Linked DNA regions of Mus musculus. The protein of the gene in region 5 interacts with the protein of the main gene of each other region in a pairwise test. Links are inferred from orthologs where the notes say so. Each region holds a gene or a part of one and is shown on either strand. Other genes may lie near its edges.

Region 1 (3,500 bases), on a different chromosome or scaffold from region 5:
GAAAGCAAGATGGAGGACGATTTTCTGGTCTCCTGGGTCAAGGGGCTACAGTAACAGCTAAGCACAGACAGACAGAGGTAGAGTCTATGTCCACAACCTTCCCTAACTCCTCAGAGGTCAGGGACCCAGGTTTGCCTGAGTCTCCTCCCCCAGGTCAGCGACCCAGCACAAAAGCTTTGTCTCCAGACCCTCTCTTGAGACTGTTGACTACACAATCCGAGGATACTCAAGGACCAGGTCTCAAGATGCCAAGTCAGCGGGCACGGAGCTTCCCCCTGACCAGGACCCAGTCCTGCGAGACAAAGCTGTTGGATGAAAAGGCCAGTAAGCTTTACTCCATCAGCAGCCAGCTATCATCTGCTGTCATGAAATCCCTGCTGTGCCTTCCATCTTCAGTCTCTTGTGGCCAGATCACCTGCATCCCCAAGGAGAGGGTGTCTCCAAAGTCACCTTGCAACAACAGCTCAGCTGCAGAGGGTTTTGGTGAAGCCATGGCCTCTGACACAGGGTTCTCTCTCAAGTGAGTGTCTGTGCCCTGCTTGATCTCCACTGCCCCCATTTTTCTATTTTATATAGCATTTAAACATTTCTCAGACGCACTGGTTAAAAAGATCATTTCATCTCATGTGTGTGTGTGCATGCAGATCTGTGTGCATGTGTGTATGTACACATGTGCACTGGAGTTCTGTCTTCCATGTTAAGAAGTAGTTTACATAATAGCCGACCTTGGCTGGGATGAGAAGTGGGGGATATGTTCAGGCTCTTGGTAATCTGCTCACAAAGATACAGGAGGCGAATGAAAAGTCCACCTTCATCTTAAGGAGCTCTGGGTGAGGCCAGGGAATGCTCCCCAGTAAGAATCTGTCTTGATCTTCACATGGGCCTAGGACCTGGGCAGTGAGTAGGACATTTAGTCTTGTTTCAGCTCAGCCTCTAACTCTAGGAGCAGAGTCCTGGCTTGTACAGCTGCCTCCCTCTTTAGGTAAAGTCAGGAGGTAGGTGAGACCAGCTTCATTTTTGTGAGGGCTAGTAGGGGGTCCAAGGTCTTCTGCTGCAGGGCTGGGTCTGGGTTTTCCCTCTTGAATCAGCTGTGATTTATTTATTGTTTGTGCTGCTGAGAGTGGATATGTCATAACAGAGTTCCCAAATAGCATGTAGCTAACAGAGCCCCTGGCAGGATAGAGTTGATAAAAAATCTTGCAACAGAGAAACCCTGTCTTGAAAAAAAAAAAACCAAAAGCCAAACCAAACCAAACCAAACCAAACCAAACCAAACCAAGCAAACCAGAAAAACAAAATACCCCCAAAGAATCTTGTTTTTCACACCGTGTTATCTCTGCTTGTGAAAGCCTTTCAGAGCTGAGAGAATATTCAGAAGGTCTCACAGAGCCCGGGGAAACCGAGGACAGGAACCACTGTTCTTCTCAGGCCGGCCAGTCGGTTATCTCCTTGCTGAGTGCAGAAGAACTGGAAAAACTCATTGAGGAAGTGAGAGTTCTAGATGAAGCAACATTGAAGGTAGGTTTCCTGCATGCACATCTGTAGGGACAAGGGCTGTTGTTTGTCATCTTAGCTGACCCAGAGGGGAAGTAGCTAAAGAAGTTTACGGTTTGTAGCTTAAGGTTTGTTATGGTGTTGGCTGGCATCAGGACAGGTTTTGTCCTGTCAGTGGTAGAGGGACACCATGTCACTTGACATAGCAAGTGTTAACACCTGATTTTAGCTGGGATGGGAAGTGTTTGTGTGTGTGTGTGTGTGTCTGTCTGTCTGTCTGTCTGTGTCTGTGTGTGTCTGTGTCTGTGTTTTGGAGGGACATGGCCAGGCCCCTTGTCCTGGCATCCTTTGCCATTTTATGGCTGAGAAGGAAGATCCATGGTCACAGAGCCAGGGTGCTCTGACTCTAAGGTCATGCCAAGTGCTATGCCAACATCCCATGGGCTGCTAACCTGGCATGAGTGTCCAGAGAGAGAACCCACATGGTGTAGCACTGCCAGTGGTGAACAGCATAGACGCTTTGGTTATTTCCTCTGCCCACCTCAAGGTGAGCTCAGGAGGGTCTGTGTGCCTCAGCCACATCATCCCGAAAGGTCCACTTCCCATGTAGTCGCTGAGCTCAGCCAATGGTGTGTATCGAGGAAATGGCCCAACCAGAGCTGGAGCCAGCAGTCAGGAGGTGGCCTTGTGAATCTCACTCTCTGGAAACCTCTTAGGCTCTGTACCCTGTACCTGAACTGGGATAATGAAAACTGGGAAGCAAGGAGTCCATTTTTACTGGAAGAATTACAGCTGCCCTTCCAAGGTCAAAGGTGTGGTAGTAAAGTCTGATGAACCCATGGTACCTTGGGGCTGTGGTTTCTCAACCCAGGGTCTCACTAATCACTTGTAGCCTGCATGAGCCATTGATCCCCAGAGCCTGAGTCAATAAAAATAATATGCTGGAAGGAAAACTTCAAGTTCAGAGCTGCCTATCTAAAGGGTCAGTAAGAAGACTTTGTTTCTAGTATGGCAACCACTCACAGGAGAAATAAACACACACAGACACACACAGACACACACAGACACACACAGACACACACACACCCCAACTCCAAATAACCTGATATAAGTGGGTCAGTGTGGGTTGATGGGACCTTCACCCTCTGGTCCCTCCTCTGACCTGGGATCTCCACATTAAGAGATGGAAGAAGACCTGCAAGTCAGGGACTCTGGTAGCTCACAGCCAATGAACTGCTTTGCCATGTTTTTATTTCCTAGTGCCATATACAAACTAGTGGCCCAAGAGCTATGGGCCTGAAAATAAAATTTACTGGATCTTTTAAAGTGTTTGGTTGTCCTAAGTCCTGCTATTTCTGAGTGTTTTGTTTAAAGGGAATGAGCCAGTAGTGGCAGGATTGCCTTCCTCTGAGGTAGCCAATCCTAGTATGCAGATGTGTTTGGCCTGCCCTCTTTGTGCCTTTCACTCATGCCTGTCCACCTTGCCCACGTATGTGACCTCCATCGCTGTTGTGGGCACTGGGGCTCCAGGATTCAGCTTGAGAGTAGAATGGGAGCCTCTGCCTTTGGAGAGTGTGAGAAAGTTGTCCTGGATCCTGACTGGGAGTTTCTGTTTGTGCCTGTTTCACATTTGTACTGCATGTGTGACAGAGCGAGATGCCAACTGGGCCCTTTACTGCTGCTATGCCATGGAAGAAGGAGCAGCCAGCACCTGTGAAACAGCGCTGACCTCTGAGAGGTTGACCCAAAGCCTAGCACCGGCCCTTGTCTCAGAATGCCATGGGAAAGTGGCATCTTCCAGCCTGCAGGGCTCTCTAGCTGACTTTGCAATGTGCAGTCCAGTCTATGGGAAGTGGGTGTGAGTGGGTGAGTAGGAGCAGAAGAGAGCGGGCTTGCTGTTTTACATACATTTGTTTACCCTCGTAAGCTTCCTGTAATTCCTGCGCGATGAAACTGAAGTCTGAGGAGGTGGTAGTACTGGCCCAGCTGGTGTTTAATAAAACAAA
Region 2 (3,500 bases), on a different chromosome or scaffold from region 5:
ACACACACACACACACACATAGAAAGGAAACACAAGGACAGATGCTAATGTAATAACATGGGAAAGAAACCATATAACTTGTGGAGGGTTGTGCAGATGATCCCTCAGCCCAGCCCCTTGCAGGAAGTGTGCTCGAGGATGCTCAGAAACAGGACACACTGAAGCCTCCATGGCTCAGCCCTCCCTCCTTCGAAGGTCTTCTGTGGTCAGGAGCAACAGAAACCACCTGTGCAGGTTGAACCCTGAAAAGGAAACTTACTCTGTAGCTGTTGTACTTTGCTCACCAGGGCCTGTTTCTCTTCCTCTGACTTCTTTAGTTGATCTGAAAGCGAAAGAATACAAACAGAAATAGGAGAGCACCAGAGGGTGGAAATGAGAGGTAAGTCCTGTCCTCTGTGACCTGGGAGTGTCAGGTGTCTTTCAGATCTGAAGGGAGAGGCCAGCATTCACACAGGAACATCACAATATTGTGTACACACACTAGTGGGTCCTTTCAGCCCACAGAGGCACATCTAGGAGGCCTTCATCTTGCCTGTGTTTGTACTAACCTTTCCCTTTCAAATTAGGAATATGGCCTTTGCATGTGACTAGTATGGGAGCAGCTGTGGTATGGCCCACAGGGTCAAGCTGGAGGAGAGAGCATGCAGAGTCCTCAGATGAAGGACAACTAAGGTTCATTTTGGTTGATTGACATTTCTCTGCCTTTCCCTCAAGGAGAAATGAAATCATGGGACCAAGCACAAATGAGGAGCAAAGCTTCTCCCCATAGCCTCCTTCCTCTGAGCCCATTCAGTTGTGGTTCTAATGACCCTGTGACCTCAAAGAAGAGGAGTACCTTGTAGGTCCTGGGTCTCAGAGCTCTGCTGCTCTCCGTCTCCCTGCAGGCTCTCGAGTTTGGTCTGCAGCTCCTGGTGCTCATTTTCTAAAAGCTGCAGGGCCTGGCTCATCTGTGAGTCTCTGCTGTCTGCTCCCTGCAAAGAGGAGGGAGAGGAGCCACAGAGCAGCAGGTCAGTGTGGCTGGCGACAGAGCAGACAGGTACCATGGAACAGGACACAGTAGGATTACTGAGATGGGGTGTCAGGAAATGGAAGCTCTCCCCTTCTCTTTGTTCTGCCCTATCCTGCATGTTTATGGCAGTGCCTCTGACTTGATATTTATGGGGATATGTATGTCTCGATGCCTTGACAGATCTCCACATCAAGCCAGAATTTTCTAGATGTTTTACTTTCTTTTTACTTTGGCATGACCAGTTGTTGAGGGAGAGGGGCAGTTAAGGCTATTTTCACAAAGAATTAAGGTTTAAAAACCTCAAAACACTTTCCTAAGAATTGCCTTATGCATGATGAGAAAAGAGAGCAGAGGTTAAGATGTGGATGCTGTGTGTAGCCAGTAAAATTTGTGCCTCTAAATGTCTCACACCCTCTTTCATCAAATATATATATATATTTTCCTGATTCATGTTTGGGGAAATTGTAAAGATTCACTCTTAGGGCAGATCTTCAAAGTTTCAAACTAAGTATGTGAAATCTATGTGTTAACTGGAGATTTTGGGGAGGCTCACCTGGGGTGCCATATGTTACTAGGGAAATAGGGTCTCCTCTCTGAGTTCTTAGATTTGTTAAGAACACATCAAGGAAACTTCTCTTTGAAACAGATGGAGACCACTACAGAAAACCACTATCAATCAAAATGCATACCTGTGGATTCTGGTCTCAATGAATACAGCTATAAAATAACTCCATACTTGAGGCTCAGGGAACATTGCAAAAGAGGGGGCAGAAAGATTGTAAGATCAGGGAGTTTTCTGTGAGATTGTGCCTCCTAGTAATGTCAGAAGCAATACCCATAAAGTCTCACCAACATGGCTGCCCAAATGTGAAGGGAAAAGGAGGCCACCAATGGGTGTGCCAAACTAGATGAGGGAGAGAGCCCATGAGGCCTCAATCCTACACGGAGAACTATAGGTAATGAAAATATCCATACAAGTAACATATAGACTCAACAGATTATATTCAGGGATATATATGCATGCACACATATGCATTAAATAATAATTGATGAAAAAGAGGCTGTGAACATGAAGGAGAGCTAGGAGGGAGATAGGGAGGGCTTGGAGGGAGAGAGAAGGAGGGAGAAATGTAATTAGAATCTTGAGAATAAAAATAAGAAAGATGGTTAACATTAAAAATATTAAGAGCAGATTCTGAAGAAGACTAAAAACAAAACAAAACAAAACAAAACAAAAAAAACCAAAACAGCCAAAAACAGTAATAATGACAACAGAGGCAGATTGGGAATCCTGTGAATGTCAGCAGCTGCCTGGAGGATAAAGGTGGAGAAGAGGGAAAGAAAGTCATGCCTTTTGAGTTAGGGATGGGGATTCGGCAGTTTGGCACGCAGCCATATGGCAAAGGGGATGCGGAGAGGGTAACATCAAAGAAGAGTGAGAAAGCCAGGAGTGTTGTGGAAGCACACCTAGGCTTCAGCAAGGGTTAGGAAGAAAGAAGATGTGAAAAAGAAAAGTTACATTTTTCTGAGAAATTCAGAGGACTGGTCAGGCTTGACCAAGTAGCGTGGCCATGACTCTGTGAGTGACCACACCAGGCTCAGGCTTTCTAGGAAGGGGAAGTACATGATCTCACTAAAAGAATAATTACTTTTCCTTCTTTGGCATGGCTTAAAGTGAATCTGCCTTCCTGAGGGGTGGTTCATTAGCCAGAAGATTGACTGGCCCAAGTGGATTAATTCCTATGCTTTGGGGAGCGTGGAATGTCAGGCCTCCATGTAATTACTAACCCGAGTGAAGTGCTCATATGTACCAGACTATGCCACACATGTTGTGTGAGTAGTCACATTTAATCCATGCAACAAAAGACCCTAAATTAATTATAAATGAATCAATTAATCTACATTAATTAATTAATGTAGATTAATTAGATTTTCTAAGGTGGCAGATTGAAAGTGTAGGAACTTTTGAGCATGACAAGAATTTACTGAAATTTATTAAGAAACACACCAGCAGGATGTGTTAGTACCTGTAAATAAACCAGTAACATTTATTATGTACAAAACAATGGGCAGTTATGCACTGAGTGCCCTGCTGGGGTGGTGTTTGAATAGTGTGCAATTGGTAGGCCAATCAACCCAATGAATGCCCCAACTCAGGCATTTGTATTTGGTTAATGTCTTTCCAGTGGGTACTTAGTTCATTTGCATGGACAGTGTAGGCATTCCCTCTATACGCACTTATGATTCAGAGCAAAACAGTGAGTCTGGTACTAAGTGGGCAGTGGATGAAGACTTGAAAGCTGCTTGTTACGTGTATCCAACCTTTGAGGCCCAACCTAGGAGACTCCTTTCTCAGCAGACCCCTCTCCCCCCTTCTGCCTCCCTTCCTCTCCCACTGCCGGGCCTGGTACCTGTAGTTTGGACTGAAGCACATGCAGTTGGCTCTCCAGCTCTCTGTGCTGGTCCCCTAGGGTCCTCCAGTCCTCCTTCA
Region 3 (3,500 bases), on a different chromosome or scaffold from region 5:
CTGACTTCAAACTTGCAGCAACCTTCCTGCCTCAGCTTCTTGAGGGCTGGGATTACAGGTGTTCACCACCACACTCAGTTTGGTTATTTATTTATTTATTTATTTATTTAGGGTTTTTTTTTTTTTTTTTTTTTGAGACAGTCCCCACCTGTAGTTTAAGCTGGCCTGAAATTCGATATATATCTTAGGTTGGCCTTGAACTCATAGCAACTCTCCTACCTCAGCCTCCTAAATCCTAAGATCACAGGCATGAGCTGAGAAACTTGAACTTTAGGGAACCACTAAGAAGTGTGTGGGGGGTGAGAAATATGTGTCCTAAGGGAGTAGGGGGCTGGGGATAGAGATCTGGGGTCCCTGAATGAAGAGAAGCAATGGGCTCTCTTTCAGTGCTGGGTAGGATGGGGAAGGCAGGAGACAGGGGTAGATAGAATTGTAAATTGTCCAGGCGTTTGGTCCTTTGGGCTTTTAGAGGTCTGGGTGGGGGTGTCCCCACACCAGTGGAGAATGTATGTCTGATGCGAGTGACCTTTTTTCCCCCTTTTCTCCACCTCAACTTTCCTTCACTCTCCTAATGTCCTCCCCCCAGCCTTGGGCTCGCAGGCTGCTTCTGGGTTTCCTCTTAAGGATGCCAAGCCTCTCTCTACCCAACTCTCTCTAATTATCTTTTTGTATTCCCCCATTGCCACCAGAAGAAGAGCGCCCCAAACCCAGGTGAGGTGCTACAGGGTGGGTGTGGGTTACAAGCCTATCTTCTCATGCTCCTCCACCAAGAGAGACAGGGCAGAGAAATCAAAAGGCAGAGAAATCAGGGCTTGAACACAGCCAACCTTAACTCTTAAAGCAAGAAGTTGAGGACCTTCCTACATTGTGAAACAGGTCAGATATAAAAATAACAGCCTGGGTTCTAGAAAACCATGCAAGGGGACTCTGTGTTGGCCCAGGGCCAATCAAGGAAGGCTTCCCGAGGAGGTGATAACCTGGACCCTCTCGATAAAGACCTTGCTAGCTGAAGGAAAGTTGTAGGCAAGGACAGTCATTTCTTACACTCAAAGTGAGTGGTTATGTATAAAACCCACTCTGGGTGCAGAACCAGGCCATCGTGAGAGTATGGTTAAGCCAGGGAGGCCAGTACAGGCTGTGGAAGCTAACTGAGCTAAGAGGAGGCCCGGAGAGGCCAGGGCTAGAGCTTAGGGACTCTTGGAGGAAGGAACGCAGTTACAGAGGTTCCAGGTTGGAGAGCTACCAGGGAAGGAATGCAGGAAGTGAGGGCCCTTTCCAAGGACTTTTGGGACCGACAACACATGGTCCTTAGAGACACCAAGTGGATGAGCCCTGCCAAGGCAAGGAATGTTCTGACACATGAATTATTCGGGAAGTTTCTGCTAACTTGGGCCTTGGGAAAGAGTGTTTGCCAGGCAAGGTGTTGCTGCATCCTCGGAAGAGTAGTCTTGGTGATTCTGAGTTCAGCATCTGTGGGTTTTGCTGATCTTAAATCATAGCTATTAAAAGAAACTGTAGGTGACCCGAGCACGCAGACGTTTTTCTTGTTACAGCTGCGCACTGTTGCTGTTAAACAGCCAGTAGTACAGCGTTAGAGCAACCAGGCAACTGTAAGTTGCTTAGAGAATAGCGATCTTTAAAGTCCATGGCCTTTAGCATGCGTGATCCCCGGGCTTCATCCTTACCCTTGAAATAAAATCTTCAGGCCTGGAGAGATGGCTCGGTGGTTGAAAGCACTGACTGCTGCTCTTCCAGAGGACTTGGGTTCAGTTCCCAGTATCCACGTGGTGGCTCACAAACATCTGTAACTCCAGTTCCAGAGGAGCCGATGCCTTCTTCTGGCACTTGGCCATACACGTGTTACACAGGCAGCAGGCAAAACCTCATACATACACATAAAATAAAATGGTTAAGAAGAAAGTGAAGTATCTCAGAGCAGTGCAAAAGGAAGAGCAGTGCTTTTAAACTGTAAGGCCTTTATTACGTATTTTGCGTGTGTGAGCACAGAGGTGTGTATGGTGCAAGTGTGGGGTGCAGAGGATGATTTACAGGGGTCGGAACGCAGACAATCAGGCTTGTCATGGGGGTCTTTGTTTGCTGAGCTACCCCTGCCTGCTTTTTATGCAGAGCATTCAATATATGGCCTCGTATGTTTGAGACAAGCATTCCGTCTTGAGTCACCCGCAGCCCCTCACTGGGGGAGTCGCCCCCTGCCTCTCCCTGGGGGATTCTTGTCAGGCATTCTACGGCCGAATCTCATCCCTAGCCCTGTTGTGATTTTTCATTTTGAGGCAGTGTCTCTTAAGTTTCCATGGATGGCTTTAGATTCTCTCTAGACCAGGCAGGACTTGAATTTGCCTCAGACTTCCGAGCAGCTAGGACAACAGATCTGTGCCACCGGGTCCTGCCAGTTTTTACAAGTATGTCAAAACAGGCAAAACAAAATACTCAAACTGTATTTCCCTGACTGTGGTCTCACACAGACTCGGGGGCCGGTGGGGGTGGGGGTGGGGGGTGGCTGTCATTTTGAACAGCGTGTGGTAAGGCAGAGGAGGGAGGCCAGCCTGTTGATGATCTCCAATTCTATCGACACAGCCGTCCTGTGGTGCCTCCTTTGATTCCCCCGAAGATTCCAGAAGGGGAGCGTGTGGATTTTGATGTAAGTGACAGATGTCCTACCCCAGAAGCAGCTGCAGGATTCTTGGCGCCTTGAGCCTATTCTGAAAAGTGCCCTTCTATGCTTCCTTCATGAAAACCCTGGGGGTAACCCAGGGTCCTGTTATTAGCAAGGAATGCTTTGCTGACATCTGCTGGAAGCCATCCCAGCTGGCTGTCAGTCATCACCTAGGGCTGGGGTGGGGCAGGCTCCAGGGCCCTGTCCGGCGGCCTCACGGGCTCCCTCTTCAGGACATCCACCGGAAGCGCATGGAGAAAGACTTACTGGAGCTGCAGACGCTCATCGACGTGCACTTTGAACAGCGGAAAAAGGAGGAGGAAGAGCTCATTGCACTAAAAGACCGCATTGTGAGCCGGAAATCCGGGTCCTCTAGTTACATCTATCTCCCGTTCCCTCCCTCCATGTAGTGCTTTGGGGTCTCTGGGAGAAACAGCGGGGACATTGGGCGGGTCCACTCCAGTATCCATTTCTACCAGGAGTGCATTTTGGAGGCGGAGGCAGGAAGATTACCATGAGTTCGAGAGACTGTCTCAAAAAGGACAATTAAATAAAAGAAACTATCCTTATTTCGTTCGTCTACTGGTGGAGGGACAACTTGTGGGAGGGGATAGCCTCCAAGAACCCCCACATTCCCTGCCCCAATCTTCCCCTTAATACCCCTAGGAGAGGCGACGCGCAGAGAGAGCTGAGCAACAGCGCTTCAGAACGGAAAAGGAGCGAGAACGCCAGGCCAAGCTGGCGGTAGGTGTCTGTCCTTTCCCTATAGGAGAATACTTTATTTCCCATTTTGATACTCTCTACGGTTCTCAGAAAGTCCCTGTAA
Region 4 (4,190 bases), on a different chromosome or scaffold from region 5:
AAGAGGTAGGGGCATCATCATGCACACAATTAATAAAAACTATCAAAGACGCAAACAGCTCATCAAACACACCCATTACTCTCCATTGCTAACTTCAACAATCTCTCCGAAGCATGGCTCACTTTGCTGTCATTCACCTAAACCCTCAGTGGAGGAAGCAACAAGGACTGTCCCTTAATCCCACAGGCCTCTCCTTGAAAACCCCCTGGATTTCTAACCACTTTTATTAAATGCCAGAGTTCCTCAAGGCTTGGTCCTCAAAGTTCCTTTTTGTCTACAAGGATTCTTTTGGAAAGTCTCATCTACTCTCAGCTCTTTATTTTTTTCAGTAGCTTTCAAGTTTAAAATACAGAATTGAGATCTGAATCTAAAACTCTAAACTCACATTATTCATTGCCTACTTGGATGTCTCAATAGGCACCTAAAATATAAAATGGCTATAACCCAATTCTTGGTTAGTTTCCAAATCTGCTCCTCTCCCACCATACCAAAACAAGTGGCACTGCTATTTACTAAATTGCTCTATATAAACCCTAATAAGAGGTAATTTTCATTCACCTCTTATCTACCCTCTGCAAATCATTCAGGGTTCTTTTTCCATAACATATTTAGAATCTTTTATACTGCCATTTTGCTAGTTATGTTTTTAGTTTGAATTATGTGAAATACTATTTTGCACATTTCTTAAGTATGCTCTTCCAAACAGCTTGCTAATGACAATGATCCTTCCCATAATGTATAAACCTCCCATGTAATGTAGTGCCGGGCTGACCCTTGTTTCATTTCCTGACACTGTGTTTTGACACTGTCTCCCTACCAGTCTTTCAGCAATCTGGACTTTTTTGATTTCAAACACCCACAATACACTCTTATTTTCATTTGCTGCAATTATTCTGCCTGCAAAGCTCCCTTCTTCCCTTCAGTTGCCTGCTCACAAGCCTAACACTAAGGCATTCTCTGGACACCTTTTTATCAATGCAGCTCCAAGCCTACTCTTATATACATGGACTACGGTGGAGTAAAGAAGAGTTTCTCTTCTGTTTCCAATTCCAGACACAGAGTCACAAGATCCATTTTTCCATTAAACAGGCTTTAGATTTCTGTTGGGGCTACCATAAGGACTAGGGATTAACTACATCCCGGTGGCACTGCCTTGGTAGTAGCCCTGCAGTGCAGTTCAACTAAGTTTCCAATTTCTAAGTTTTGAGAGCAGAGAGCTCTCCTTTCTCCAGTTTAATCAACTGTATCTCTTATATAATTCACGTGTTCGCTGACACTTAGTTCTGATAGTTTTTCCTTTATCTTTCATTTATCTGGCAAGGAACTAACTCCCAAATGCTTGCTCCAACTCTTCTCCTTAATCTCCTCTAGTTCTTTGGCAAAGGTATACCCCACTATTTGAAAAACTTGAAATATTCTGACCTTATCACAAATTCTAGTAGCCACAGAAAGTCCAAACTGCTGAGATTCCTAAGTGAGACTTTCTGAAGGTGTTGGTAATCTCTATGCCCTCTTCCTCATCAGCTGTTAAAATTACCCAGAAAATTTCCTGACATCCCTCATTATTCAATTTTCACCTGTTTTTCTAGTTCTTCTTTATCAACTCTACCTTTATATAATCTCTGCACATTCGAAATTACCCTCTGGTGTCCGGAAATTACCTATTGTCTTGTCACATACCTTAAAAAACTTGCAGTGCTTTCTTCTCTTAAATTCCTTCAACACGCAGCTAGCTTATCTTCCTTTCAAGATCCTATCTTCCCTAATACTGCTAATCAATCTCCCCCAGACGCCTCTGGTATCAAAACCTGCAGCGCAGTAATTATCTAATTAGTACAGTGCTTTGCTCCTTCTTCAGAGTGGGATTTCTATTCAATTCCTTCCTGTAACTTTAGGACCAACGGTCGGCTAAGTACAGGAACATTTCTAAAAAGAACTCCAGTTTTCTCACATTTAATTCTTATTTCTTCCTATTGGAGCGTTTTCCAAAAGACTGAGCGCCACAATCCACTCTTAAAACATCAGTGACTAACTAAACCCGCAGGCTTAATTTTCCCGATCGCTTCTCCAGAGCAACTTTTCCATACAGAGTCTAGTAATGGGAAGTGGGAATGCCCGGGCTCCGCCTGCAAGGGTCGCGCAACAAACAGAGAGGCACGGCAGCAAGGGCGAAAACGCACTCTGGGGACCACGGACGCCTCAGCGGCTGCCACTCTACAAACCTGCACACCTACCTGTTAGTGAGTTTCCGAGACGGGCCGTTACGCTCACGTGACCGACAGAGCTTTGTGTTAGCGGGCCTGAGAGTGCACCAGCCAGGCTCGGGACAACGCTCCAAAGCACCGGCTGAGAGGACAAGGGAACGCAGGGTGGAAAAGGAGGTGCTCCAGAAAACACAGTTGCAGCCTCCGGGAGTGGCACGCGGCCTCGGGCAGCCCGCCATCCTGCGGGACGAGGGCTGACGCCAGATCGCGGGCCCCCTGAAAAGTGAGGCAACCCGGAGAGCCGTACAGGCCCACCTGGAACCCACGCGATTGCCGCCCCTTACCGAAAACTGAGAATCAGAAGCCGCCGAGACCGAGGCTGCCGCCATCTTCCCACCTGCGCAACCCCAGACGCCGTCCTTGAGCTCCTCCTCCGGATTCGACAGCCGCCCGCCTGGGGCAAGCGGAATCCAAGTCCCCGATGGAAGGGGCGGGCGAGCTGCGAACCCTATAGGAGCCTCGGTCTCGCAAACCACAAGGACGCCACACTCAGCGCGCACGGGAAAGGCAACGCGTCTTGATAGACGCCTTCCAGTGACCAATCAGAAAAGAGGACAACTTCTGGTGGCAGGGAAGAGCCCGCCTCCTCTCTCGGTGACGTCACAAGGTAGCGCATCGCGGAGCCTGCGGGAACGGCAACGTCTGAGTTGACAGACGGCTCTGGGAGCGTCTGAAAAGGGATGGATTTTCTGGATGAGGAAGCAAAGGCTAGGGCTTCTGGAACCTTCAGCGCCTGCTGAGGCGGATGACGGAAGCTGAATAAAGGAGAATGGAAAGTTGACATACTCCATCAGCATCCCAGGAATAAACTCCAGAGAGCGTTGCTTCTCCATTTGATGTACTGACCTTTCGGCCAATGACAAACAGAAGTAGGAGGGGCTTAAGGATATGGTCCAATGGAAGCCAAGGACTGAAAAAAAGCGGCGTTTCGTGGACCCCCTGGCCAATGGGCTCAAGCGCACCAGCCAAACGACGACTGGCCGTGGCTTGTGGGCGGGATCTTTTCAAAGCGGATTTCGCGCTCTGAGAGCGGCGGCTTCCTATTGGTTGGTACTTTCTCTCTTTGTGGGCGCTCCCTGCCGAACCTAGGCCAGGGACTGGGCGGAGCTTTCTAGTGACGTAAGGCTCTCTGTAGCCAATCGTAGAGAGGGACGCGAGACCGAGGAGGAAGCGGAATCCACCGCCTAGCTCCCGCTTCGTCTCCCTCCGCCGCGGTCCGGGCCTAAACGGGAGCGGCGGGGCGGGCGGCAGTAGGTGTCCCGGGACGGCGGCGGAGGCGGAGGGAGACGCAGGGGACCCGGCAGTTACCGGGACTGGGCCACAGCAGCAGAAGAGCCCGCGGGCGGGGCAGCCGAGTTCCCGGAGGCCCCGCCTGAGCGCGCGCGGAGGAGCCGGAAAGCAGGATGGCGGCGTCGGCCTTGTACGCCTGCACCAAGTGCACGCAGCGCTACCCCTTCGAGGAGCTCTCGCAGGGCCAACAGCTCTGCAAGGTCGGTGGGCGCCGGTCGTTCAGCGCACCGCTCCCCGCCAGGGCCCGGGCATTATATGGGCGAGCCCCGTGTCGACCGCGTCCCGCCTGCTCGCAGGTTGGGCTAGCTCGGCCGCTTCTGGCGGTCTCGGGTGGGGCTGAGCCAAGCGGCCACCAGTCCTCCGTGTCGCAGAGATTGGGTGCAGACTCTCTCATCCCAGCTTTGGCAGGGACTGCCCTCTCCTTCCACTGGGAGGCAGGGCCCGTGTTTGCACTTTCTTGCTAGCAACCCGAAGCTGCAGAGCTGATGGCATTCTGCTTCCCTGTCCCGGAAAGCGAAGCGACTGGTTTAGGAACAGAGTGCTCTCTGATTTGGAGCTCCTCCCATCCCATAAAAGCCGGGATGCTGTCTGTGAGCAATTGTACAAAATAACTAGTAGTTTCACATGTAAACCACC
Region 5 (4,121 bases):
TGAAGATGGAATTAGAGGCACTTGTGAGCTGCCTGAGGTGGGCACTGGCTGGGAGCCACACTCAGGTCTGCAATAGCAATTGAGTTCAATCTCAATTGCTCCTGGGTCCTCTTCCAGCCCACATTTTACACTCGTGGGGTCTGTTCGATTCAAACTATAACTGAAGATTTGCCACTGTCAGTAGGGTTGAGTATAAATTCAGACTAGGATGTAATAATCTTACTTCCTTTGGACGCTTTCAAAAATGCCATTATTGCTCTGTGCAGACAATTTGTAGAGCATCTCGTCCCTTTCCCCTTCCCTGTAGGAATCTGGTGACTGAACCCAGCTAGCCAGGTGTGCATGGCAACAACCTCCGAGGCATCAAACTGGGCCCCCTTTTACAACTGAAAAGACTGTGTTAGCTTAGTGTCTGCTTTGCTTTAGAGTGGTACAGCACTTATCTAGCATGCCTGTAAACACACACACACACACACACACACACACACACACACACACAGTGTTTGTTTTAGATACTATTTCAAGGATAAAAGTCAGAACAACTCAAACAGATAAAAATCCTAAGTAAAATTAATCAAAACATTCTGAGTGTAGTTAGGTGGGGAGACTTGAGACAGCATCTTAATGTGGACCCCAGGCTGTACTACCACTCTCCCCTGTGGACCTACTCACTTTTCTACCTCCGTTTGGTCCAACAGCGTTTTCTCCAGAGCACCCTCTCTAAACTCCCTGTTCTCTAGTGCCCTGTGAGTGCTCCCTGACACAGCATGGCCCCACAGCTGCCATGCCTGTGGTGGGTCAGCACTTCCCTATCCATAAGTAGCCCTGATCCCATCACACAGTAACTGCTGAGGGGGAGCTCGCCACCCCAGCTCAACAACACATAGCAAGATGCTGTAGCACCCGGACTCTACAAGGGCAGAAAACTCTTCTGGGATGCCTTCCCGATCCTCCAGACCCAGGGCATGCAGCCCAGCACACAGTACCTTTTGCCTCCAAAGCTGGGCCTCTCCTCGTCCGAGTCTCGCTCCGCCCACACCCCGTAGGTGGCCTCCTCTTTGGTCTGCCAATGGCGCTGCCGGTTGGGGTTGAACTCATTCTGGAGATCCCAGTCGGTGATCTCAAAGTTCTCCCTCTCATCGTCATCGTCATCATCAAGGTGGCCTTCGCCATCCCGGTACAAGTGGGACAGAGACATGGCCAGTCACTAGAGGACGGTGACAAGAACAGCACTGTGAGAACCTGGGGCTAGCAGAAGATCCGCCAGTGTCAAAAAGCTATTAATGAGCCTCATGATCCAACTCAGTAAAGCAGCCATTAAACAAAGGGCAAAATGACCAGCTCCGTGACAAGTGAGACAAGTCAGACCCAGCCATCCGAAGGGGGCCTAACGCACAATGCCTTGTCAGAGTCAATCACCATGCACGCGTGGGGCGGGGCCACAGAATGACAGGCACATATGCCACAGAAAGGAAGCAACAGCTCTAAATGTTATTACCTCAGAAACCAGGTTGGTCTTTTTACTTCTCCAGGAAAAGTTGTATCTAGCCAATTTGCAGTTCCAGGGAAACTTCAGAGCATTTTCTGAAATACTATTTCCACGGGACTGAAGGTTTCCTTCCCTGAACGGCTTCTACGGTACTGGAAGGTTGCAGTCTTTCTGAATGCCACTTTGCAGTCACTCCTAGAGGGTAGGGAAAAAACAGTGTTCTACCCAGGTAGCTATTCATCTCTCTCTCTCATAACTGCATTCATTCAGTTCCAGGAGAAGCTTGTAAGGACTGATTAAGATGATACTTTCGAAAAACAAAAGCTCCAACACTTTGGAGGCAGAGAGGCAGATCCATCTCTCTAAGTTCAAAGCCAGCCTGGTCTCAAAACCGACAAAACAACAACGAAAGCTCCGCTCCCAGTAGGTGCTCAAGAAACAGCACCCTTACATCTTTGACTCTAGCAGTAGGGAGGCAGAGACCAGGGGGGTCTGAGTTCAAAGCCAGCCTGGTCTACAAAGCAAATTCCAGGGCAGCCAGGGCTGGCTGCTAAAGAGAAATTCTGTCTTGAAAACAAAAACAAAAAACAAAACAAACAAACAAACAAAAAACAGAAACGGGGGGAAAGGGAGGAAAAAGGAAAAAAAAAAAAAAGCATCTTCTTCCACTCCATGATCGGGTTTCAGGTTCACACTCATTACAAGTCAGGACTGCGAAGTGAATCCTTCAAAATGATTGTGAAAATCATTAACACTTAACACCCCAGCCTGAGTCTAAATCGCGCCTCTATGAACACCTGTGAGTGTGGTTATCACATTCAAAGGTCCCGACCCGACACTGTGTGCATTGCACAGTAACATCCTCACTATGTGACACCAGTGACTGACAGCGTGAAAACGGCTCCGCGGTGACTAACAGCTCCCCCCCCCCCCCGCTGCTCCTCCTCCTCCTCCTCCTCACTATGCACCGGCGAAACTCAACAGGTTCCGACCCCAGCAACCAGCACATGTTGAGTTTCCTCAAAGGAGCAGGAAGCCCTAGGCCCACTCAATTACAGCACCGCCACCTCCCCAGCACAGGGGACAGGAGACGCTCAGCTCAATGTCAGCAGCGGGCCCGGAGCGCAGGGAAACCGTAAAGCCGTCGTCACGGAGCCTCGGAGCCTCAGCCCGCGCTCCCGGGACGCCACCCCGCCGCCTGCTCACCTCGCTCAGCATCCGCGAGAGCCACACAGCCTTCGCCCAGCGTCCCCGAATCTGCGAGGGTCCCGCCAGCCCAAACCCGGATGTGGCCTTTACCGGCGCATCGGAAATACGTCATCGCTCAGAGGCGGAAGTGGCGCGCTGTTGCCCCGGCAGCGACTTCACGCCGGAGGGGGCGTGTCTGCAACCCGGAAGGGCCGGTGATCCCGCCTCGCGCTGCTTCTGGTTCCCATCGGAACTGAGGCTGAGTGGCCGTCTCGTTCCAGGGCGAGCCGTCGCCAGGCACTGGAGTCTTACTTGGCGTTACCAGCGTCACGAGGACACTGAGAGATTAAAATGTCCTCGCGACCCCATGTCGAGTTCTCTCCAGGAAGCAGTTTTATTGTTCTCCTCTTTGCTCTAGTTATTTCTCTGTCGCTGGGAAAGAACGGAGTTGGGGTTTCTTGTTGGTTTGATTTGGTTTTGGTTTTGTGAATTTTCAAGACAGGGTTTCTCATCCTGCCGTGGTGGCGCACGCCTTTAATCCCAGCACTTAGGAGGCAGAGACAGGTGGATTTCTGAGTTCGAGGCCAGCCTGGTCTACATACAAAGTGAGTTCCAGGACAACCAGGGCTACACAGAGAAACCCTGTCTCGAAACCCCCCACCCCCAAAAAAAAGAAAGAAAGAAAGACAGGGTTTCTCTGTGTAGCCCTGACTGTCCTGGAACTCATTGTGTAGACCAGGTTAGCCTCGAACTCGGGAGATCTGCCTGCCTCTGCCTCCTGAGTGCTGGCCTTAAAGGCGTGTGCCAACGCGACCCACAAAGAGCATATGTCATCTTTTTACACATCTTACAAATCTATACATAGTCTGGTGCCATCTCTGGTTCTGAAACTAATTTGTTTTCTCTAATACCCTAAAAGGCTGGGTCCTGGTGGGTTTTGTTGTTGGCTGGACTTATTTTTGTTTTCCCCTGTCAGCTTGATACACACTAGAGATATCTAGGAAAAGGACTCGGTGCTTCCATCGGATGGCCTGTAGGCAAGACTGGTGTCGTTTGCTTGATTCATGATTGATGTGGGACGGCCCAGCCCATTGTGGGTGGGGCCTCCCCCTGTGGTCCTGGGTGCTGTAAGCACAGGGAGCAAGCCAATAAGCAGCGTTCCCTCCGTGGCTTCTACTTCAGTTCTTTTTAAAAATGTCTTTGGACTGTAATCTGTAAAGCAAATAAATCAGTTTCCTTCCCAAATTGCTCTTGGGTATGGTCTTTACAATACAGCAATAAAACCTAACCAAAAAACATGCAGGAGGATTTGTTAGTGAGGCTCTTGGGGAGTCCGTCAGAGCCAATGTGATACTGTGGGATCAGGGTCCCTTCTTGGGGTTTTATGGTCACGTGAATGAAAGCATCTAAGAACTGATACAGAGAGCTGAGGGCGGGCAGTGGG
Region 6 (2,557 bases), on a different chromosome or scaffold from region 5:
AAGGAGACACTCACCAGGACATCTAGAACAGGAAGCAAGGGACAAAGCATCAGGTTTATCAAGGCCCAAGAGCACGGAGGGGGTGTGTCTAACCTCTCCAGAGAGGCAGCACAGGACTGACGGACACCAGTACCTGACACAAGAGTTTGGCACTCATTTTCTGAAATCTGGTCCCAGGCCTTGGGCAGTGCTTGGATGCTGGCCAAGTCTCCCCAGTGGATGGAGGAGAGGAGGTACTTTCTCTTCAGGTACCTTCCCAGAAGTTAAGGACTGCTCAGAAGAAAAAGGAACTTACAAGATATCTGTGTCACTAGGTCATATGCTCTTATGGGACTACTGTTGAATGTGGTCCATCTCAGTAATGTGATTAGAAATCAAGGCAGGAGAGTAGAGCCAACCAGGGCCTCCAGCGCCTAGCCTATGGCAGTGCTTAGCGATATCAGGGTTAGCGGCGCCACTAGCACACCTAGTACCACTATTGCAGTTATAATAGGAAACAGAGGGACAGGAGGAAGATCGTCCCTACATATCTAGATTGGGTGACAATCTCCTTTGTCAACTTGTCTGGATTTAGAATCGTCATGGAAACATGATACAGGTTGCATCTGTGATGTTGTCTCTAGAAAGGTTTAACTGAAGTGGGAGGACTCCTCTGAATGTGGACGGTGTCAGTCCACAGGCCGGGGTCCCAGAATGAACAGAAAGTGAACAGAGCGCCAGCAGTCAGCAGTCCCTGCGTCCTGATGCAGGCGCAATGTGACCAGTGGCTTAAGCTCCTGTCTCTGTGCGCTTCCCTCCGTGACGGACATATCCCTCAGCTATGACCTGAAATAAATCTGTCTGTCCTGCTTCGTGTTCGATATTAATCACAACATGAAAATCAGTAACACAGTGGGCATTGCTGGTCCATGTTCAGCTTTAAACTTGAATTTGGAGTTCACTAAGCGAGCCAGCTGGAGGCAGCACAGGAAACTGAGACTCAAGACCAGGAGCAAAACCAGGGTCAGATGACAGCCATGGGCACGAATGGAGAAAAGGTCAGGACTGCGGCTAATTTCCTGCTCTCAGGCTTGCTTCCCGCCATGCCAACTGTTCTTCAGAACACAGCACTGTTAAGCACAGGCCTTGACCACATGGTTCTGCTTAAAGCTTCTGAGAACTTTGACTTCAGAGTAACAGCCAAAACCTTCAAGATCCTTCTCAAAAATCAAGGCCCTCTGTCACTCTCCTCCTGCCCGGCCCTGCCCTGCCCTTGCCCCCACTGGCTTTATGGCAGTTCTTACATGTACCAGACAAGCTCACGCCATGTAGCCTCTGCCTGGACCACTCTTCTTCCAAACACCCACATGGCTCATTCCTTCCCTCTTGCAAACTTGGCTCAAATGCTGTGAGCATCATTGTCTCAGGATGTCACTGCCTCATGGGTCCCTGCACTGACCACACTATTAAAATCACATTCCCCCTCACCTTCTCTGCCTTATTTAACACTCACCACATCTGACACTATGCAGTCCCCCTTTTTATGCCTGCTCCCAGCACTTAAGAGTAGTGCCTAGCAGATAAATAAACTCTAAGGAATGACTAGTTAACAAAAGACAAGTGCAAGAAGAATCCAAGTCTGAGCACTAGAGAACTGCAACGAATTATACAGCCTGCTGACCCCGTGAATTATACAGCCTGCTGACCCCGTGAATTATACAGCCTGCTGACCCCGTGAATTATACAGCCTGCTGACCCCGTGAATTATACAGCCTGCTGACCCCGTGAATTATACAGCCTGCTGACCCCGTGAATTATACAGCCTGCTGACCCCGTGAATTATACAGCCTGCTGACCCCGTGAATTATACAGCCTGCTGACCCCGTGAATTATACAGCCTGCTGACCCCGTGAATTATACAGCCTGCTGACCCCGTGAATTATACAGCCTGCTGACCCTGTGAATTATACAGCCTGCTGACCCTGTGAATTATACAGCCTGCTGACCCTGTGAAGTCTGCACCTGCTGCAGCCTCTAGGGGCGGCTCTGGGCAGTCAGTCAGGAAGCACTCGAAGGATATGAGCTTCCATAATGTCTGTCGATGTCCTGCAGCCACTCCAACATGTCAGCCACAGAGGGGCTCACAACTGAGGGGCGCAGGACGGTGTCAATGTCTAGCACAGCCGCATGCTGCTCGTAGGCCTGAAACACCTGCTCCACGTGGCTGTTGATGGTGTTACGGACCTTGAGGAGGGTGGCTCTGTGGGAAAAGGAGGGTGTTAGGCAGTATCCTAAAAAAAGATAGGGGGTAAGCCTTCTCAAACCACTACTGTCCTGTTAAGTTTTGTTTCAGAGGGGACTCAAACCCTTAGACGTGTTAGGGAAGCGGTCTACCACTGAGCTATACCCTTGTTAATTTAGTATGAGGGAAGGGCATGCACATGACAGAGTATGCTTGGAGATCAGAGGGCTACTTTGTGGCATCCACTCTGTCCTTCCACCTTTCCATGGGCCCGTGGATTGAACCCAGGTCATCAGGCTTACACGGCAAGTGCCTCTACCCCAGGAGCCATCTTAA
Region 7 (2,895 bases), on a different chromosome or scaffold from region 5:
AATCCCAGCACTCTGGAGGCAGAGGCAGGCGGATTTCTGAGTTCAAGGCCAGCTTGGTCTACAAAGTGAGTTCCAGGACAGCCAGGACTATACAGAGAAACCCTGTCTCAAAAAAACAAAACAAAACAAAACAAAAAAAAAAACAAAAACAAAAAAAAGAGTTTGTAATGGCTGGGATCTACATACAGAGACAAACTGATAGAAGGGGGAGGGGAGGAAAACAGACCAGCATTAGGACTAGAAAATGGGTGCTTAGGGGCTTATTACATACACTGTTTCCTCTACATCTGAGTGTTTTATATGATAAGTTTAAAGCCAGGCGTGGTGGTTCATACGTTAGACTCTGGGGTCCATTGATTATGGACTCTAGGCAAGTTAGTTACTCTGTCAGTTTTCCAATCACTGGAAAGGAATGAACAACTATAGGCCATTCACAGGGGTTTTGTAAGGTTGGAAGATGATCTCAGTAGCACAGAATGACATAGAGTAAGCCCTCAGGCAGTGTGGTGCAGGGAGCCTTCAGTCAGGCAGTGTGGTGCAGTGAGTCCCCAGTCAGGCAGTGCTGTGACCCCAACAGGCAGTGTCATGCAGTGAGCCCCACCCAGGTCAGGCAGTGCTGTGACTCCCCCCAACCCCCGCCCCAGGCAGTGAGGTATAGTGAGCCCTCAGGTAGTGTGATGCAGTGGGCTCCCAGTCAGGTAGTGCTGTGACCCCCTCCCCCAGGCAGTGTGGTGCAGTGAGCCTGCAGTCAGGCAGTGTGGTACAGGGAGCCCCTAGGCAAGCAGTGCAGCGAGACCCCCCCCACACACACACACACACACATACACACACACACACACACACACACGCTGCAGGCAATACAGTGGGCCCGCAGGGAGTGTGCATGCAGAGTTGTGATGTGGTGGTGGCAGTGGTGGTGGTGATGAGCACTGTCATTTTCTCTACCTCTTTTTGTGGTTATTTTGTTTTATTTTTTCTTTTAGAGACAAGAGTCTCTCTCCACAGCCCTGACTGGGCTGGAACTCACAGATCCTCTCTCTGCCTCTGCCTCTGCCTCCTCTGCCTCTGCCTTTCTGCCTCTGCCTCTGCCTCTGCCTCTGCCTCTGCCTCTGCCTCTGCCTCTGCCTCTGCCTCTGCCTCTGCCTCTCTGCCTCTGCCTCTGCCTCTGCCTCTGCCTCTGCCTCTGCCTCTGCCTCTGCCTCTCTGCCTCTCTGCCTCTCTGCCTCTGCCTCTGCCTCTGCCTCTGCCTCTGCCTCTGCCTTTCTGCCTCCAGGAGTTCTGGGATTTAAGGCCTGCCAGGCCATTTTCTCTACTTCTTATTGCTGGTCTCTGGGAACCAAAGGACAAGCTCCATATGGTTGCTGGGCTACCTTTGGGGCAGATATTCTGCTGAAGGAGCCACATTCCCCTCTTCTGGCTCTCCCTTCCTAGCCTCTTCCTCATCCTCCTCTGTGCCACTTCCTCCCTAGGAGGCCTGTAGCATCCCGGGAATTGGCAAGCGGATGGCGGAGAAGGTCATGGAGATCCTGGAGAGTGGGCATCTGCGGAAGCTAGACCACATCAGTGACAGTGTGCCTGTCTTGGAGCTCTTCTCCAACATCTGGGGAGCTGGGACGAAGACTGCCCAGATGTGGTACCATCAGGTCATGCCAGCCCGCCTGCCTCTTAAAGTATTGCTGTTACAGAGTCTCTGCCCACACCCCTTCCTGTTCACCTGCAGGAATCTGGGTCCCTCTGTTTTCCCACCCTGGGCCCTCATGGGAGTGAAATCCAACTACAAGGATGCCAGAGTTCACATTGGTCCCCCTCCTGTCCCCAGAACAGCCATGTAGCTTAGTGTCCTTGACCTGTGGACAGAAACAATAAATACATTACTCTGTCCCACACACCAGCAGGGATTTGCTGTTGTTATGTTTGTGTGTGTGTGTGTGTGTGTGTGTGTGTGTGTTTGTGTGTGTGTGTGTGTGTTTGTTTTAAAAACTATATGTCACCATGTAGCCCTGGCTAACCTAGAACTTACTATGTAGACCAGGCTGATCTGCCTGGCTTCAGCAAGGGACTTTCTCAGGAGCCCAGGCTTTGGGCTCCATGTCTCGAACAGTGGCTCTCAAACTTGGCCATGCCAAGAATGATCTTGGGAGTTAGTGAGCGTGAAGCCCTGACCCATTTTAGACCGAGGAATGAGGGACCAGCATGCCCAGATCACGTCCCACTGAATAGAGGCTGGACTTGATTGGTCCTGCCTTCTGTCTTCCATGGCAGCTGCTGTGACAGCCACCCATGACTTCTGGCCTGTTTATTAGTCCTGGGTCCTCATAGCCTCTTTTCTGGTTGCTTTCTTCCAGGGCTTCCGAAACCTAGAAGATCTCCAAAGCCTGGGCTCCCTGACCGCTCAGCAGGCCATTGGCTTGAAGCACTACGATGACTTCCTGGACCGCATGCCCAGGGAGGAGGCTGCGGAAATTGAGCAGACGGTAGGCACAGCTCGAGCCAACAGCTCCTGAAGCCCTAGCTGGGCAACCCCACAGGCAGCGGAAGTTAAGAGGTCGACAGAGATTGTGTCTACCAGAGCTGTAGGTCCAGGAACCCCAGGTGGGGTGGGCACTGCAGTGGCAGCCCTCTGGTCTCAGGGTCACTAAGCATGAACTCTGGGCACTAGTCGCCTAGCATGGGGCAAGCACAGCCTCAAGGCCTGAGTACAATCAAGGCCTGAGTATGTCGTTCAGAGGTAGCGCTCCTGAGCATGCCTAAGACCCTGCCCATCCTCAGCATCACAGAAAGGGGGAAAAAAAAAACAAACAAAAAACATCTAGTTGGCCAAGAAATCAGGTTTAGCCAAGTTAAAGGTTCAGCTTAGAGCTAGGGGCTGAGTCTGTAAGTTCATGTGCAGGGTTG

What was found.
Region 1: the proteins of Tfip11 (region 5) and Il16 interact in binary tests that used the Homo sapiens proteins (3 or more experiments, as listed by UniProt). The two-hybrid records come from large-scale screens. The link is inferred for Mus musculus from reciprocal best matches to the Homo sapiens genes TFIP11 and IL16.
Region 2: the proteins of Tfip11 (region 5) and Traf3ip3 interact in binary tests that used the Homo sapiens proteins (3 or more experiments, as listed by UniProt). The two-hybrid records come from large-scale screens. The link is inferred for Mus musculus from reciprocal best matches to the Homo sapiens genes TFIP11 and TRAF3IP3.
Region 3: the proteins of Tfip11 (region 5) and Tnnt1 interact in binary tests that used the Homo sapiens proteins (3 or more experiments, as listed by UniProt). The two-hybrid records come from large-scale screens. The link is inferred for Mus musculus from reciprocal best matches to the Homo sapiens genes TFIP11 and TNNT1.
Region 4: the proteins of Tfip11 (region 5) and Cep57 interact in binary tests that used the Homo sapiens proteins (3 or more experiments, as listed by UniProt). The two-hybrid records come from large-scale screens. The link is inferred for Mus musculus from reciprocal best matches to the Homo sapiens genes TFIP11 and CEP57.
Region 6: the proteins of Tfip11 (region 5) and 9930104L06Rik interact in binary tests that used the Homo sapiens proteins (3 or more experiments, as listed by UniProt). The two-hybrid records come from large-scale screens. The link is inferred for Mus musculus from reciprocal best matches to the Homo sapiens genes TFIP11 and AIRIM.
Region 7: the proteins of Tfip11 (region 5) and Poll interact in binary tests that used the Homo sapiens proteins (3 or more experiments, as listed by UniProt). The two-hybrid records come from large-scale screens. The link is inferred for Mus musculus from reciprocal best matches to the Homo sapiens genes TFIP11 and POLL.

The regions. Positions count from the first base shown.
Region 1 is NC_000073.6:83,648,899-83,652,398, reverse strand, and holds part of Il16 (pro-interleukin-16), read left to right. Parts: coding exon 1-520; intron 521-1,349; coding exon 1,350-1,518; intron 1,519-3,500. UniProt on the Homo sapiens protein: Interleukin-16 stimulates a migratory response in CD4+ lymphocytes, monocytes, and eosinophils. Primes CD4+ T-cells for IL-2 and IL-15 responsiveness. Also induces T-lymphocyte expression of interleukin 2 receptor. Ligand for CD4.
Region 2 is NC_000067.6:193,181,047-193,184,546, forward strand, and holds part of Traf3ip3 (TRAF3-interacting JNK-activating modulator), read right to left. Parts: coding exon 3,421-3,500; intron 972-3,420; coding exon 836-971; intron 323-835; coding exon 260-322; intron 1-259. UniProt on the Homo sapiens protein: Adapter protein that plays essential roles in both innate and adaptive immunity. Plays a crucial role in the regulation of thymocyte development.
Region 3 is NC_000073.6:4,509,476-4,512,975, reverse strand, and holds part of Tnnt1 (troponin T, slow skeletal muscle), read left to right. Parts: intron 1-689; coding exon 690-711; intron 712-2,595; coding exon 2,596-2,659; intron 2,660-2,907; coding exon 2,908-3,024; intron 3,025-3,340; coding exon 3,341-3,418; intron 3,419-3,500. UniProt on the Homo sapiens protein: Troponin T is the tropomyosin-binding subunit of troponin, the thin filament regulatory complex which confers calcium-sensitivity to striated muscle actomyosin ATPase activity.
Region 4 is NC_000075.6:13,824,308-13,828,497, forward strand, and holds the start of Cep57 (centrosomal protein of 57 kDa), read right to left. Parts: upstream 2,801-4,190; 5' UTR 2,594-2,800; coding exon 2,549-2,593; exon of another isoform or gene 2,235-2,548; intron 1-2,234. Other genes in the region: protein FAM76B, read left to right, coding at 3,668-3,754. UniProt on the Homo sapiens protein: Centrosomal protein which may be required for microtubule attachment to centrosomes. May act by forming ring-like structures around microtubules. Mediates nuclear translocation and mitogenic activity of the internalized growth factor FGF2, but that of FGF1.
Region 5 is NC_000071.6:112,325,048-112,329,168, reverse strand, and holds the start of Tfip11 (tuftelin-interacting protein 11), read right to left. Parts: upstream 2,801-4,121; 5' UTR 2,696-2,800; intron 1,685-2,695; 5' UTR 1,499-1,684; intron 1,208-1,498; 5' UTR 1,199-1,207; coding exon 987-1,198; intron 1-986. UniProt on the Homo sapiens protein: Involved in pre-mRNA splicing, specifically in spliceosome disassembly during late-stage splicing events. Intron turnover seems to proceed through reactions in two lariat-intron associated complexes termed Intron Large (IL) and Intron Small (IS).
Region 6 is NC_000070.6:124,940,048-124,942,604, reverse strand, and holds part of 9930104L06Rik (uncharacterized protein C1orf109 homolog), read right to left. Parts: intron 2,240-2,557; coding exon 2,060-2,239; intron 253-2,059; coding exon 134-252; coding exon of another isoform or gene 23-133; coding exon 1-22. UniProt on the Homo sapiens protein: Part of the 55LCC heterohexameric ATPase complex which is chromatin-associated and promotes replisome proteostasis to maintain replication fork progression and genome stability.
Region 7 is NC_000085.6:45,554,670-45,557,564, reverse strand, and holds part of Poll (DNA polymerase lambda), read left to right. Parts: intron 1-1,469; coding exon 1,470-1,643; intron 1,644-2,345; coding exon 2,346-2,474; intron 2,475-2,895.